3 linked regions of the Mus musculus genome follow. The protein of the gene in region 2 binds, or shares a complex with, the protein of the main gene of each other region. Links are inferred from orthologs where the notes say so. Each region holds a gene or a part of one and is shown on either strand. Other genes may lie near its edges.

What was found. Proteins that work in one complex are often made in the same cells at the same time.
Region 1: Taf13 (region 2) and Taf11 share a complex: the UniProt entries of both Homo sapiens proteins name them as parts of the TFIID basal transcription factor complex. The link is inferred for Mus musculus from reciprocal best matches to the Homo sapiens genes TAF13 and TAF11.
Region 3: Taf13 (region 2) and Taf9 share a complex: the UniProt entries of both Homo sapiens proteins name them as parts of the TFIID basal transcription factor complex. The link is inferred for Mus musculus from reciprocal best matches to the Homo sapiens genes TAF13 and TAF9.

Annotation. Positions count from the first base shown.
Region 1 is NC_000083.6:27,904,938-27,909,186, forward strand, and holds the start of Taf11 (transcription initiation factor TFIID subunit 11), read right to left. Parts: upstream 2,808-4,249; 5' UTR 2,735-2,807; coding exon 2,564-2,734; intron 474-2,563; coding exon 325-473; exon of another isoform or gene 244-324; intron 1-243. UniProt on the Homo sapiens protein: The TFIID basal transcription factor complex plays a major role in the initiation of RNA polymerase II (Pol II)-dependent transcription.
Region 2 is NC_000069.6:108,578,197-108,581,707, forward strand, and holds part of Taf13 (transcription initiation factor TFIID subunit 13), read left to right. Parts: coding exon 1-17; intron 18-2,810; coding exon 2,811-2,981; 3' UTR 2,982-3,511. UniProt on the Homo sapiens protein: The TFIID basal transcription factor complex plays a major role in the initiation of RNA polymerase II (Pol II)-dependent transcription.
Region 3 is NC_000079.6:100,649,928-100,654,149, forward strand, and holds the start of Taf9 (transcription initiation factor TFIID subunit 9), read left to right. Parts: upstream 1-1,415; 5' UTR 1,416-1,490; coding exon of another isoform or gene 1,491-1,518; intron 1,519-1,679; exon of another isoform or gene 1,680-1,790; intron 1,791-4,222. Other genes in the region: Ak6 (adenylate kinase isoenzyme 6), read left to right, coding at 1,491-1,518. UniProt on the Homo sapiens protein: The TFIID basal transcription factor complex plays a major role in the initiation of RNA polymerase II (Pol II)-dependent transcription.

The DNA.
Region 1 (4,249 bases), on a different chromosome or scaffold from region 2:
TGGTCAGAGGCCAGTTTCCAGGCCCTCATTCCTTCTTCTACCACGCGGTTTCCCAGGATTAAACCCTGGTCATTAGGTTCGGTGGCGAGCAGTGGTGAGCACCTTTCCTTGGCATCTTGCTGGCCTGAAACTATATCCAGGCATAGCAGCTCATGCCTATGATCTCAGTACTAAGTAGGCTGAGGCAGGAAGATCAGGAGTTGAAACCTTTGAGCTAAGGGCTTAAGTCTCATGAGCCCTTACCTCAAAAGCACACAAAAAAGCCAGTAAGCATGAATGTACAGAGTGGAGTTAGAGCCTGGACTGGGGACCTCTGTGACTCACTGCATCTTCTGAATCTCATCTTCGTCCACCTTCTGCTTCTTCTCCTTCTTGTCCTTAATGTCTAGTTTCAGCTTTTTGGCTGCAGGAGTAAGTAAGGACGAGTTTTCCCTCTCGGCTGCTGTTACATCTGAGACATCCTGACTCTTGAGCTGGAGAGATGGACAGAAACTCTTATTATGTACTCGGCACACTTCTCAGGTTTGGGAAAGGCCAGCAAACACCCTCCTCTTTCCAGCCCAGCAACTCTGTCTACGCAGTAGCTATCTAGTTCTAGGCACTGCCTATACCATCTGCATAAGAGGCAATCCATCTCTCCAAGGAAGATTATACTCCAGCTGGGAAAGAAAATAAATAATCCGCTGGGTGGTGGTGGCGCATGCCTTTAATCCCAGCACTTGGGAGGTAGAGGCAGGTGGATTTCTGAGTTCGAGGCCAGCCTGGTCTACAAAGTGAGTTTCAGGACAGCCAGGACTACACAGAGAAACCCTATCTTGAAAAACCAACCAACCAAACAAACAAACAAAAAACAAAAAAGAAAATGAATAATCCATTTCCCAGCCTAGCCATGATCATACAGAGGTCCTGCATCTGTTTACACATTACGAGGAAAATGCCAAGGATCCAAACAGCCACTCTCCCTCGGGCCCACCCTTCTGACCTCACTCCATAGATGTCAGTACAGTCCCTTCCATGTGTGTCTTGGGAGCTCCACACTGAACAGAGCTCTGTTCTTCTGATCCTTTCTCTACTGGATCACGAGATCTTTCCCAATACTAGAATACAAATTTTATTTATTTTATTTTTTTAAATAATTTGAGACAGAGTTTCTATACATAGCCCTGGCTATCCTTGAACTCTCTCTGTAGTAGTCCAGGCTGCCTTGTACTCAAGAGGTCCACCTGCCTCTGCCTCCAGAATGCTAGGCTTAAAGCTGTGCACCACCATGCCCAGTTCGGAAGCTTTTTTTTTTTTCCTTTTGTAATTTAAGACAAAGTCTCATTTTGGATTTTCAGCTTGTGGAAATTATAGACTTGTACCATTATATTGAGTTTAAACTAAAAACTGCAGAAAGCTCAGAGGTTAAGAGCATTGGCTGTTCTTGCAGAGTATCTAGGTTCCATTTACCAACACCCACATTTCAGCTCGCAGTCATTAGCAACTCTAGTTTCAGGGGATCTAATGCCTTCTTCTGACTTTTACAGGGAATGTGCCAGGCACATTACACGGCAAACAAAAATACACAGGCAAAACATTCATATAAAAAATATTCTTAAAAACCCACAATTTTTCAGTTACTACGGACATTCATGTGTGTGGGTTTGTAAGTGGACAACTTTGTGCAGATAGTCCGCTTCTACCTTAACGTGGGTTCTGGGGATCAAGCACCCTGACCTGCTGAACAATTTCGCCTGCCCTAAGCTAAAAACGTCTTCAAGATGTTTACTATTTACATTTCTCCTCACATAAACACTTAACCGTTTTATTCACAAGAGTGATCCAAACTCTGTCCTAGCCAACTTACTATAAAATCGTAATACATCAAAACTCATTAATGAGATTTAATGGTTCCTTTAAAATGAAAGGTATGTCGGGAAGTGGTGGCACATGCCTTTGATACTAACACTTGGAAGTCAGAGGCAAGGGGATCTCTGAATTCGAAGCCAGTGTGGTCTATAGAACCTGAGTTCCAGGTTAGCCAGGGCTACCCTGTCTCGAAGGAGGAGGAGGAAGAAGAGGAAGAAGGGGAAGAAGAGAAGGAGAAGGAGGAGGAGAAAGAAGAAGGAGGAGGAGGAGAAGAAAGAAAGAGAGGGAGAGAGAGAAAGAGAGAAAGGAAGGAAGGAATTCATATTTAAACTCATACAGAAATATGGAGAGGGGGAGAGAAGGCATTATCTATCTGACAGCCTTTCTAACTTACTTTCCACTATTGATCTACGCGTGTTTCTAACCTTTGTGCTTCAGATTTTCAAATTTATTTGTCCTTAACCATTTTCTCCTCGTCTTTTATCTTCTTGTCTCCTCCACCTTCCTCCTCAGCCTTCCCCCAAAAGGAGCTGGAGTACAAGCAGGCCTGAATAGGGCTCTAACAGCACCTACACCTTCCCGTTCCCTCTCCTGCCCCTCAAGGTTGCAGACTCACAAACAGTCGTGGGGGAATTCTAGTTCCCTGGCTTTGGAAGAAAGCAGTCAGGAGCGCACCCGGGTAGTCCTGCAGCGTTATCCACCAACTTCCACCTACCTCGCTTTCCTCCGCCGCGGCTTCTTTCAAGTCCGCGTCTCCATCCCTGTCGGTTTCCTCCGGGATTCCCTCAGTGTCGGCTGCCACCAAAGCCCCAGGAGTAGCCCTCGTCTCCTCTGACTCCCCTGGCTCCCCGCCTTTGTCTGTGGGCGACTCCCCGAGGTTGTCCATCGCGAGAGCAGGGGGTCAGAGGCGATGGCAGCACCGCCGGGAGAAGGAGCTGTGGAGCGGAGCTGGAGCTGAGGGCTCGTCGTCGCGCCGCGATGACGTCACGCCCACGGATCCTGGGAGGGGTCACTTCCAGAAGCGCGTTGGTTGCCCAGGGGATTCATATAAACGGAATTTGTTTTAATGTGAAAGAAATGTAGAAGTCTAGATCCTCCGCTTCAGGGCAGAAGCGTTTTTGAAAGAGCGTAATTCGTTTCCCGAGAGACTTCTTTTTCCTTCTTTTTCTTCTCCTTCCTGGGAATGTAATGCCAATTAACCCTTCTTTAACTTTACTCCTTCAGCCCAAAGTCGGGGAACAGGGAGAGAACTCGGTCCCGCTGCTTGTTGTTGCCGTGGACTGAGCAGCTTCCGGCAGCGACCTAACCTCGGATTTCCCAAAGAACTAAGACCACCGGCTTGTGTCCACCAGGGAAGTTTCCCTTCTGTTTCGCAAGCATCTCTAACGCCAACAGAAAGTATCCAATGGTTTCATTTAACACTTCAAATATTGGCCACCTGCCTCGCGTCAGAACAGGCTAGTGTTGTGAGGGAAAAACAGAAAAAAAAAAAAAAGTCATCCTTTCCCAATTACATTTCCCTCCTTAGTCCACCAATATTAAAAATTGGAAATGGTTCCCCAAATCTGACTTTTAAAATGTCTCTCATGACAACTAAGAGAAAGAAGGTCTCTTCTGACTTTTTCTGAAGAGTTAGTAGGATGGAGTGCGAGGATAGTGTCTGTTAAGAGTTCTTACATTTTTTTTTCATGTGTATGGGTGTTTTGCATGTAAGTCTGAGCTCCACATGCGTTCGTGGTACCCTGGGAGGCCAGCAAAAGGTGTTACATCCGCTGGAGCTGGAGTTACAGACTGCTGTGAGGCGCCACAAGTGATGGGAATCAAACCTAGATTCTCTGGCAGAGCAACCAGTGCTCTTAACAGGGAACCACCTCTCCAGCCACCCCCGTACTCCCTCCCCCCCCCCCACCTTTTTTTTTCTGGAGAGAGGGTCTCACTATGTAGCCTTGGCTAGCCCGTAACTTGCTTTGTAGATCAGGCTGACCTTAAACTCACAGCGATGCAGCCAGCGGCTTCTGCTTCTCGACTGCTGGGACAAATGGCAGTTGCCACAATGCCAGTCTAACTGCAGAAGTAAAACTCTCAGGTCTTCCCTCCAGGAGGCACCAGAGGGAGGGATTTTTCAAGTCTGGTTCTAGATCTCCGCGCCTATCCCGTATTGAATCTATGCGTTTTGAATGGAGTTGAAAACAGAGGTACGCGTTACCCCCTTTTCTTTTGTTTCTACGGTGCCAGGAACAATGACCGCATTTCCAGTGCCATGAGGTCCCAAACCTTTGGGAAGGCGAGCAGTTCGGGAAGCTCCTGCAGGCGTGCCGCCTCCGATCTCCGCCACCTGGCGAATGGGCGGGTCCGCTAGGCGTAGACCGCGCCTGCGCCAGGCTCGGCTCCGCACACCGAG
Region 2 (3,511 bases):
AGTTCATCACTGAAATGGTAAGACGCTTTTGTAACTATGACTTCTCTGTTGTGGTTATTTTTGTAACTGTTAGTTAATTGAAGATTTGAAGTGTAACCTTTAGACAACACTAGCACTTTTGAAATAAGCTATCCATTAGAGTGCCTGCTTTGTGCAAGTTCCTGGTTTCTATTTGCCATTACTCTGAATATCACATCAATGTATCCCAGTGCTTCAGAGCTTGTTTTATTTATTATTTATTTATCTAATTTCACTTGGTGTGCGCAGGTGTTTTGCCTAGAAGGTATGTCTGTGGATGGTGTGTGTGTCTGGTTCTCTCAGAGGCCAGAGGAGGGTGTTGGAGTCCCTGAACCTGGAGATACAGATGCTTGTGAGCTGCCTTGCAGGTGCTGGGAACTGAACTCCAGTTCTCTGGAAGGATCCCAATGTTCTTAAGGACTGGCATGTTTCTACAGCCCCTGAGTTTTATTTGTAAAAGCATAATATCCTTAAGTAAAATTAAAAGTACTGCCCATAATCTCATCCAGCCTAAGATCTTTTTCTTCTAGTATTTATTTAAAGGTATATACAGTTCATGTAATACCTTTGAGATTTTTAAAAATTATTTCATGTGCATTGAATTACTGCATATATGTGTGTGTGTGTGTGTGTGTGTGTGTGTGTGTGTGTGTGTGTGTGTGAGGGTGTCAGATCCTCTGGAACTGGAGTTACAGACAGCTGTGAGCTGCCTTGTGGGTGCTGGGAACTGAACCCAGGTCCTCTGGCAAAGCAGCCAGTCTAACATCTTGGATGGCCACTTTTATGGTTTTCTTCCTTTCCTTTGTGTGGTTGTATTAGCAGGGATGGGGTTACTGAGTTTGGTTGTTTTTAGTTCTTATGAGTGCTCACCCTTTGCTTTGGGCTATCTCCTTACTACAGAATAAAAGTGAAAAGATTACTCAGCCAGGGCAGAGGCTGGTTGGTGTGTGTGCAAGAGCCTGCACATGTGGCAAGTATTTAATCCAGTTTAACTCAGCTCAAGGAAAACATTAGCTGTAGCAATGCTAGATCATGCTAATATGAATGTGTGAGGCCCTGGGTTCAGCCCCCAGCACCACATTAAATGACAGAGCCTGACATGGTGGCTCATACCTGTAATCCCAGAATTCCAGAGAGAGACAGGAGGATCTACTACAAGTTAAAAAATCCAACCTGGTTTTTATAGTAAGTTCTAGGCTACTCAGAGCTACATAACAACAGACAAACAAACAGAAAAAAAAAAAGCAGCCAGGCATGAGAAGATGTCATTTCAGTGTGCTCAGAATTCCTCAGCATTCAGGAGGCTGTGGTAGGCGGACCCCAGTTTTAAGACCAGGCTAGGCTACACAGTAAGACCCTGTCTCAACAAACAAAACCAAAGCCAAGCATAATGGTACATGCTTTTAATTCTAGAAGTTGTAACAGAGGCAGGAAGATTGCCTCGTTTGAGACTAGCCTATATTCCAGGATCCTGTCTCAATAAAAAACAGTCAGGAATCAGAGACAAGTTGGTCTGAGTTCAGGGCTAGGCTGGTCTACATAGTGAGTTCTAGGTTATATAGTGAAACTCAAAAACATGTCTCAAAAAAAAAAAAAAGCAGCAACAAAAAAAATATTACCGTTGTATCTCCAAGTATAGATTTTGATATAAAAGGCTTAAGCGGTCTTAGGATCAGACTTACTATTTAGCCTCCATAAACTTTCCTTCCTTCCAGCCTACTAAAGCCTAATTGATATTATTTGCCTATTCTCTATTACCTATTCATTAGCCATCCCCAGAACATTTAACAAGACAACCTCCTGGAAGAAAACCAGACCAAACCAAAAAACTTCACATATATCATACAACAAAACAGAAGTATCTTCAAATTTGCTAGGTTTTAGCCTCTGGCTGTTCTGTCTTTCATATCTACAATAAAAACTTCCCATACCAGGAAGCAACTGTGTTGTCAGTTTATACATATATATCTATTTCTACTGTATAAGTGTATACATACATATTGATTTCTCCCATATAAGTATTGCATTAAAGCCAGGAAGTGGTGGCACACGCCTTTAATCCCAGCACTTGGGAGGCAGAGGCAGGCGGATTTCTGAGTTCGAGGCCAGCCTGGTCTACAAAGTGAGTTCCAGGACAGCCAGGGCTACACAGAGAAACCCTGTCTCGAAAAACCAAAAAAAAAAAAAAAGAGAGAGAGAGAGAGAGAGAGAAATTTGCTAGGTTTTGTTGTTCTGGTCTGTCTGTCTGTCTGTCTCTCTGTCAGTAAGGCAGGGTCTTACTATATAATTCTGGCTGACTTGGAACTTGTGCAGACCAAGGCTTATCCTGAACTCCCAGAGATCTGTCTGTCTCGATCTTTCAAGTGCTGGGATTAAAAGTGTACATCACTCTGTCCAGCTAACTTTGGTAGTTTTAATGTCCTTAATGAAAAAAAAAGCCTATAAAGCATAAAGAAAATGCTGCTAAGTATGGAAAAAAAAAGGATAAGGAGGGCTGGAGAGGTGGCTCAGTGGTTAAGAGCACTGACTGCTCTTGCAGAGGTCCTGAGTTCAATTCCCAAAAAACACATGGTGGCCATAACCATCCGTAATGGGATCCAGTGCCCTCTTCTGGTGTGTCTGAAGACAGTGTACTCACCTACATAAAATAAATAAATAAATCCTAAAGGAATAAAAGGGATAAGGATATGACCAGAGAGATGGTTCACAAATGTAAACACCAGCGCGATTAACAGCAAATTAAAACACAAAAATATTTAACCTTTAAAAATTCATGTGTTTCCTTGTCATAGACTCACAAGGCAATGTCGATTGGAAGACAAGGTCGAGTGCAAGTTGAAGATATTGTCTTCCTAATTCGAAAGGATCCAAGGAAGTTTGCTAGAGTTAAAGACTTACTAACTATGAATGAAGAATTGAAACGGGCTAGAAAAGCTTTTGACGAAGCCAACTATGGATCTTGACACCGTTCGTACTTCCCGAGATTTTGGTATTTTCTGTGGAAGCCATACATTGAAGTTGTTGTCTGCAGTAACATGATAGCTCGGTATGCAATGAAAGAGGTCTTCAACTGGAGCCTCCGTTGCCTGTCTTTATCTGACCATATCTGAATTGCTTCCTGGCTTTAATAACTCCTAAGTTAAAGCATTGCAAACCATGCGGTTCCACCCGAAAGGGTGGAAGTAGTATTTATTCTTCTGGTAGACGTGTGTGTTCCAAGCTGTATACCATTGCTGCATAGCATACAATCTGAATGTCCTTTGATTTTATAAATGGTGAGGCTGTGCTCTGTGTATCTCAAGGCTTTAGAGGACAGTGGTGGGGGAGTTATTAAAGAGAATGAGCTGGCTTGTGGGGGTTTTTAAGAAACGAAATTCTTGACTTAATAGATCATTTGTTTTTAATATTCTTTTCTAAAGAACACTTTTTTTAAAAGAAACTAATATTTGCTAAGTGTTAGCAGTCCTCGTCTTCCTTGATGACTGTAAAGCTT
Region 3 (4,222 bases), on a different chromosome or scaffold from region 2:
ATCAGATAATCTATCTATGATGGTATAATATAAATAAAAGCTGTTCATAAAAACTCAATGATGGGGCTGGAGAGATGGCTCAGCGGTTAAGAACACTCACTGACTGCTCTTCCGAAGGTTCTGAGTTCAAATCCCAGCAACCACATGGTGGCTCACAACCATCTGTAACAAGATCTGACACCCTCTTCTGGAGTGTCTAAAGACAGCTACAGTGTACTTACATATAATAAATAAATAAATCTTAAAAAAAAAAACTCAACGATGAATGAAACAGAAAAACCATATATTTGTGCACTTACCTTTTATTATAAAGAAAAACTAATCCCATATAAACATTTTTATTTTTATGCTGAAAATTGTATTTCATGTCATGCTACCAAGTACTGTGGATTTACAATTTAAGGGGGAAAAAATGAAATGAGACTCATTAGTCACTTTGGATAAATGTATATATTGGAAGGTGCACCCATCTATTTTAGAGTTGTAGGTACACACAAGCCCACACGCTGAAAACTTTGGCACCCAATAAAACAAATCATCTTCTCCTATCTAATTTAGGATTATGGCCTGACCTTTCAAAGGGACACAAAAACGTCTGCTTAAGAAATTATAGTTGTCGAAATGAAAGATGCTCAATGATCAGGGCTCTTTGAAAACAAGACTGACAGTCACCTCCTTCGATAAACAAACAACCGTCTCTGATGATATCAGGCTCGGGAAACGCGCCGGAGATAACGAGAACTTCAACACTACCCCTAGCCTATCCACCTCCACCTCACACACTGCACAGGGGACAGGGACACAAAGCTCACACGTCAGTCCTTAGGTGTTTCTGCAATCACCAGTGAGCGGAGCTGACACCTCGCACCATGGCTCCAGGCCAGGGCTCCTCACCTACATCCTACACCAGTCCAGACTGGAGGGCGGGCCGGGAAGGACACAGCCCAGGTATGCGTGAAGACACAGCTGACCTCACGCCTCTGGGATATTAATAAATCAAGCGGAAGCCGCGGCGTCCTTACTTTCCGGGAGCTGCGTCCCCTCGCGGGCGGAAAAAAGCGGAGAACCGGGGCTGTACTTCGCCACCCAGCCCTCCCGGCTCAGCCGCAGGCTGTTGGAGGGCCCGCCTCCTGGGGACCTTCCTCACGGACGGCGCTTCCGCGACGCAGCCAGAGGGGAGGGGCCGGCAAGCGAGCAAGGGACGTAGGCGTCCAGCGCACTGCCTGACCCGAAACGCAGGCGGGTCTCGGGGCCCGGCTTCCCACCATTAGATGGAAGCGTAGGACCCGAGGCCAGCGGAGTTCCTGGTGCGTGCCGAGGTAGGGTCTGAGTGCGTGCGAGCCCGGCGGAGGGCCTCGAGGGAACCTAGCCGCGTACAGGCGCACGAGACCGCCCCTCCGCACGCACGCCCGCCCTTTCCGGTTCCTCCCTGGCAAGCGCGTCGGGGCGGGCGCGTGAGCGGAGGCTTTGGCTGCAGGGGAAGGAGGACTATGAAGCTTCCGAATATCCTGCTCACCGGTTAGGGCGCGCAACGGGGTCGGGTCGGGCCGGGCCGGGGTTTGCCGAGGGCTGTGAGGTCCCGGGGGCGCTCCGCAGGCCGCGCGGCGTGCCGTGTCGGCTGGCGCGTCAGGACCCGGCGCTCGCGACCGTTGGGGTGGGGGGCGGGGGAAGCGGCGGAGGCGGCGGTTCGGTTGGTCAGACGCCGCGCCGAGGAGAGGGAGAGCGGCAGGCCGGCTCCTGCTCTCCCGCTGCCCCGTCGCTCCGCCGGACGCTTGGCCTTTGTCAATCTGGTATCTTTGCCTGGAGAACGGGCTGCTGAGCCTTTGTCGCGGTCGGGCTTGGGGTTTTTAAAAATCGAGGTGCGGTGAGGCAGTTTTTAGCCGTTAGGAGATGTGGTGATGGTGGGTACCCCAGTCTTTGGGCCTTCTTGGTCGTCACCTTCTTATTTTATTTTTTATTTTTAGATACCCCTTTGCTTTTGAGAAACACTTCCCGAAAGGTTTCTGTAGATGATTTTTGGGATGCTTGTGAAGAGACGTGACTAATGAACTGTTACTTTGTTCGGTTCGCGCCACGGGCTTTGTTGTTGTTTCAGTGTTAAGGTTTCTGAGCGTTTGTGGTGATCTGGAGCTGATCGTGGGTGGGACGTTTCGGAGCTTTAATAAGAAAGGTTAAGTTGTAGCGTTTAGTAGCGTCATAGGCCAGTTGTACAAAGATGGGATGGATATAGATAAAGATGCCATCACTTTACTGAAAAAAGTTCAGCTGCTGTTTTGTCAGGTAACGAATCAGGTGAGGTTGTTGTCTGTCTTAGCTCTGCAGGCTTTAGCTTTGAGATTCCTTAGGAACATTTTACAATATCTGATTTGCATGGCCAGACAGTTTCTTGGGGCTTTCAGATTCTGAAGCCAGTAGGCTGCAGAGAATGCTGTAGATCAGTTGGTAGACTACTCACTAGTAGGCAGGAAGCCCTGGAATCAGGTCCCCAGAACAACATAGACTAGATGGGGTGGCATATGTCTGTTATTCCAATACTAGGGAGGATGAGAAGTCAAAGGCCAACCTAGAACCGTGCCGGTTGGCGGGAGGGGGGAAAGCAGTGGGGAGGGACGGACAAGAGTTACATCATAAGAACTCTGTAGATCTGAATGGGAGTGTTGAATACAGAAAGGGTTCACGAGCGCTGAGTAAGAGTTGGGATTGATGTGTTCTTACAGTGGAAGTATATTTTTTTTGACTATAGAGACATGATTTTTCAGGATTTCTTACAATGTTCAAGTTGACATAAGTTTGAACATTATGCATTTGATTGTCTTAAGGGTATTAGCTATAAGCAGGGCAGTGGTGGCACAAGCCTTTAATCCCAGCACTTGGGAGGCAGAGGCAGGCGGATTTCTGAGTTCGAGGCCAGCCTGGTCTACAGAGTGAGTTCCAGGACAGTCAGGGCTACACAGAGAAACCCTGTCTCGAAAAAAAACAAAAACAGGGGGAAGTGGAGGGTATTAGCTGTAAAAGGAGAAAAGCAAACTATGTATAGTGTCATTTATAAGGGTATCTATGCTGTGTGGATATATACAGTGTGTATGTATACACTTACTTAAATACACACCAAGTATCCCTTAGATACACACAAACACATAGAAAGTTAAGTAAGAAACTGGTTTAAAGTAGCTCCCTCTGGGGAAGGTATTTCTGTTAGGGGAAATGGTAGTAATGGTATTGCTCATACTAAACTTTTTTTCCATTGAATTTTTTTTTTTAAGATTTATTTATTATATGTAAGTACACTGTAGCTGTCTTCAGACACCCCAGAAGAGGGCATCAGATCTTATTAAGGATGGTTGTGAGCCACCATGTGGTTGCTGGGATTTGAACTCACGACCTTTGGAAGAGCAGTTGGTGCTCTCAACTGCTGAGCCATCTCTCCAGCCCCATTGAATGTTTTTTTGGGGGGTGGGGGTTTGTTTGGTTTTTTTGTTTGTTTGTTTGTTTTGGTTTTGGTTTGGTTTGGTTTTGGTTTTTCGAGACAGGGTTTCTCTGTGTAGCCCTGGCTGTCCTGGAACTCACTCTGTAGACCAGGATGGCCTCGAACTCAGAAATCCACCTGCCTCTGCCTCCCCAGTGCTGGGATTAAAGGCGTGCGCCACCATGCCCGGCCCATTGAATGTTTTTTAAGCTTTTTATTAACGCAATAAGTGATAATAGTGTATTTGAGGTGCCTAATTTTTTTGTTTTGTTTTTTTGTTTGTTTGTTTTTTTAAGACCGGGTTTCTCTGTATAGCTCAAGCTGTCTTGGAACTTACTTTGTAGACCAGGCTGGCCTTGAACTCAGAAATCCGCCTGCCTCTGCCTCCCGAGTGCTGTGATTAAAGGCATGGGCCACCACGCCCGGCAAGGTGTCTAATTTTATGCTGGGAATTTTGTTGTTGGCAGGCAGAATTGGCATCAAAATTGCTGCAGTCCTATCCCTGGAGATTAGGATATAGACACTAGTAGACAGTAATTTCTGGAGAATTTTTTGGTTGGTTGGTTTGGTTTGGTTTTGAGATAGGGCTTTCCTATGTGGCCCTGGCTGTCCTGACACTGTGTAGCCTAGTCTGGTCTTGAAGCCCCAGAGACTCTCACCTGCCTCTGCCCCAAGTGCTGGGATTAAAGACGTACACCACCATACCAGGCTTTATATCAGTTAAGAACCTTAAGGGCAGAAGATGGCTGACAAATA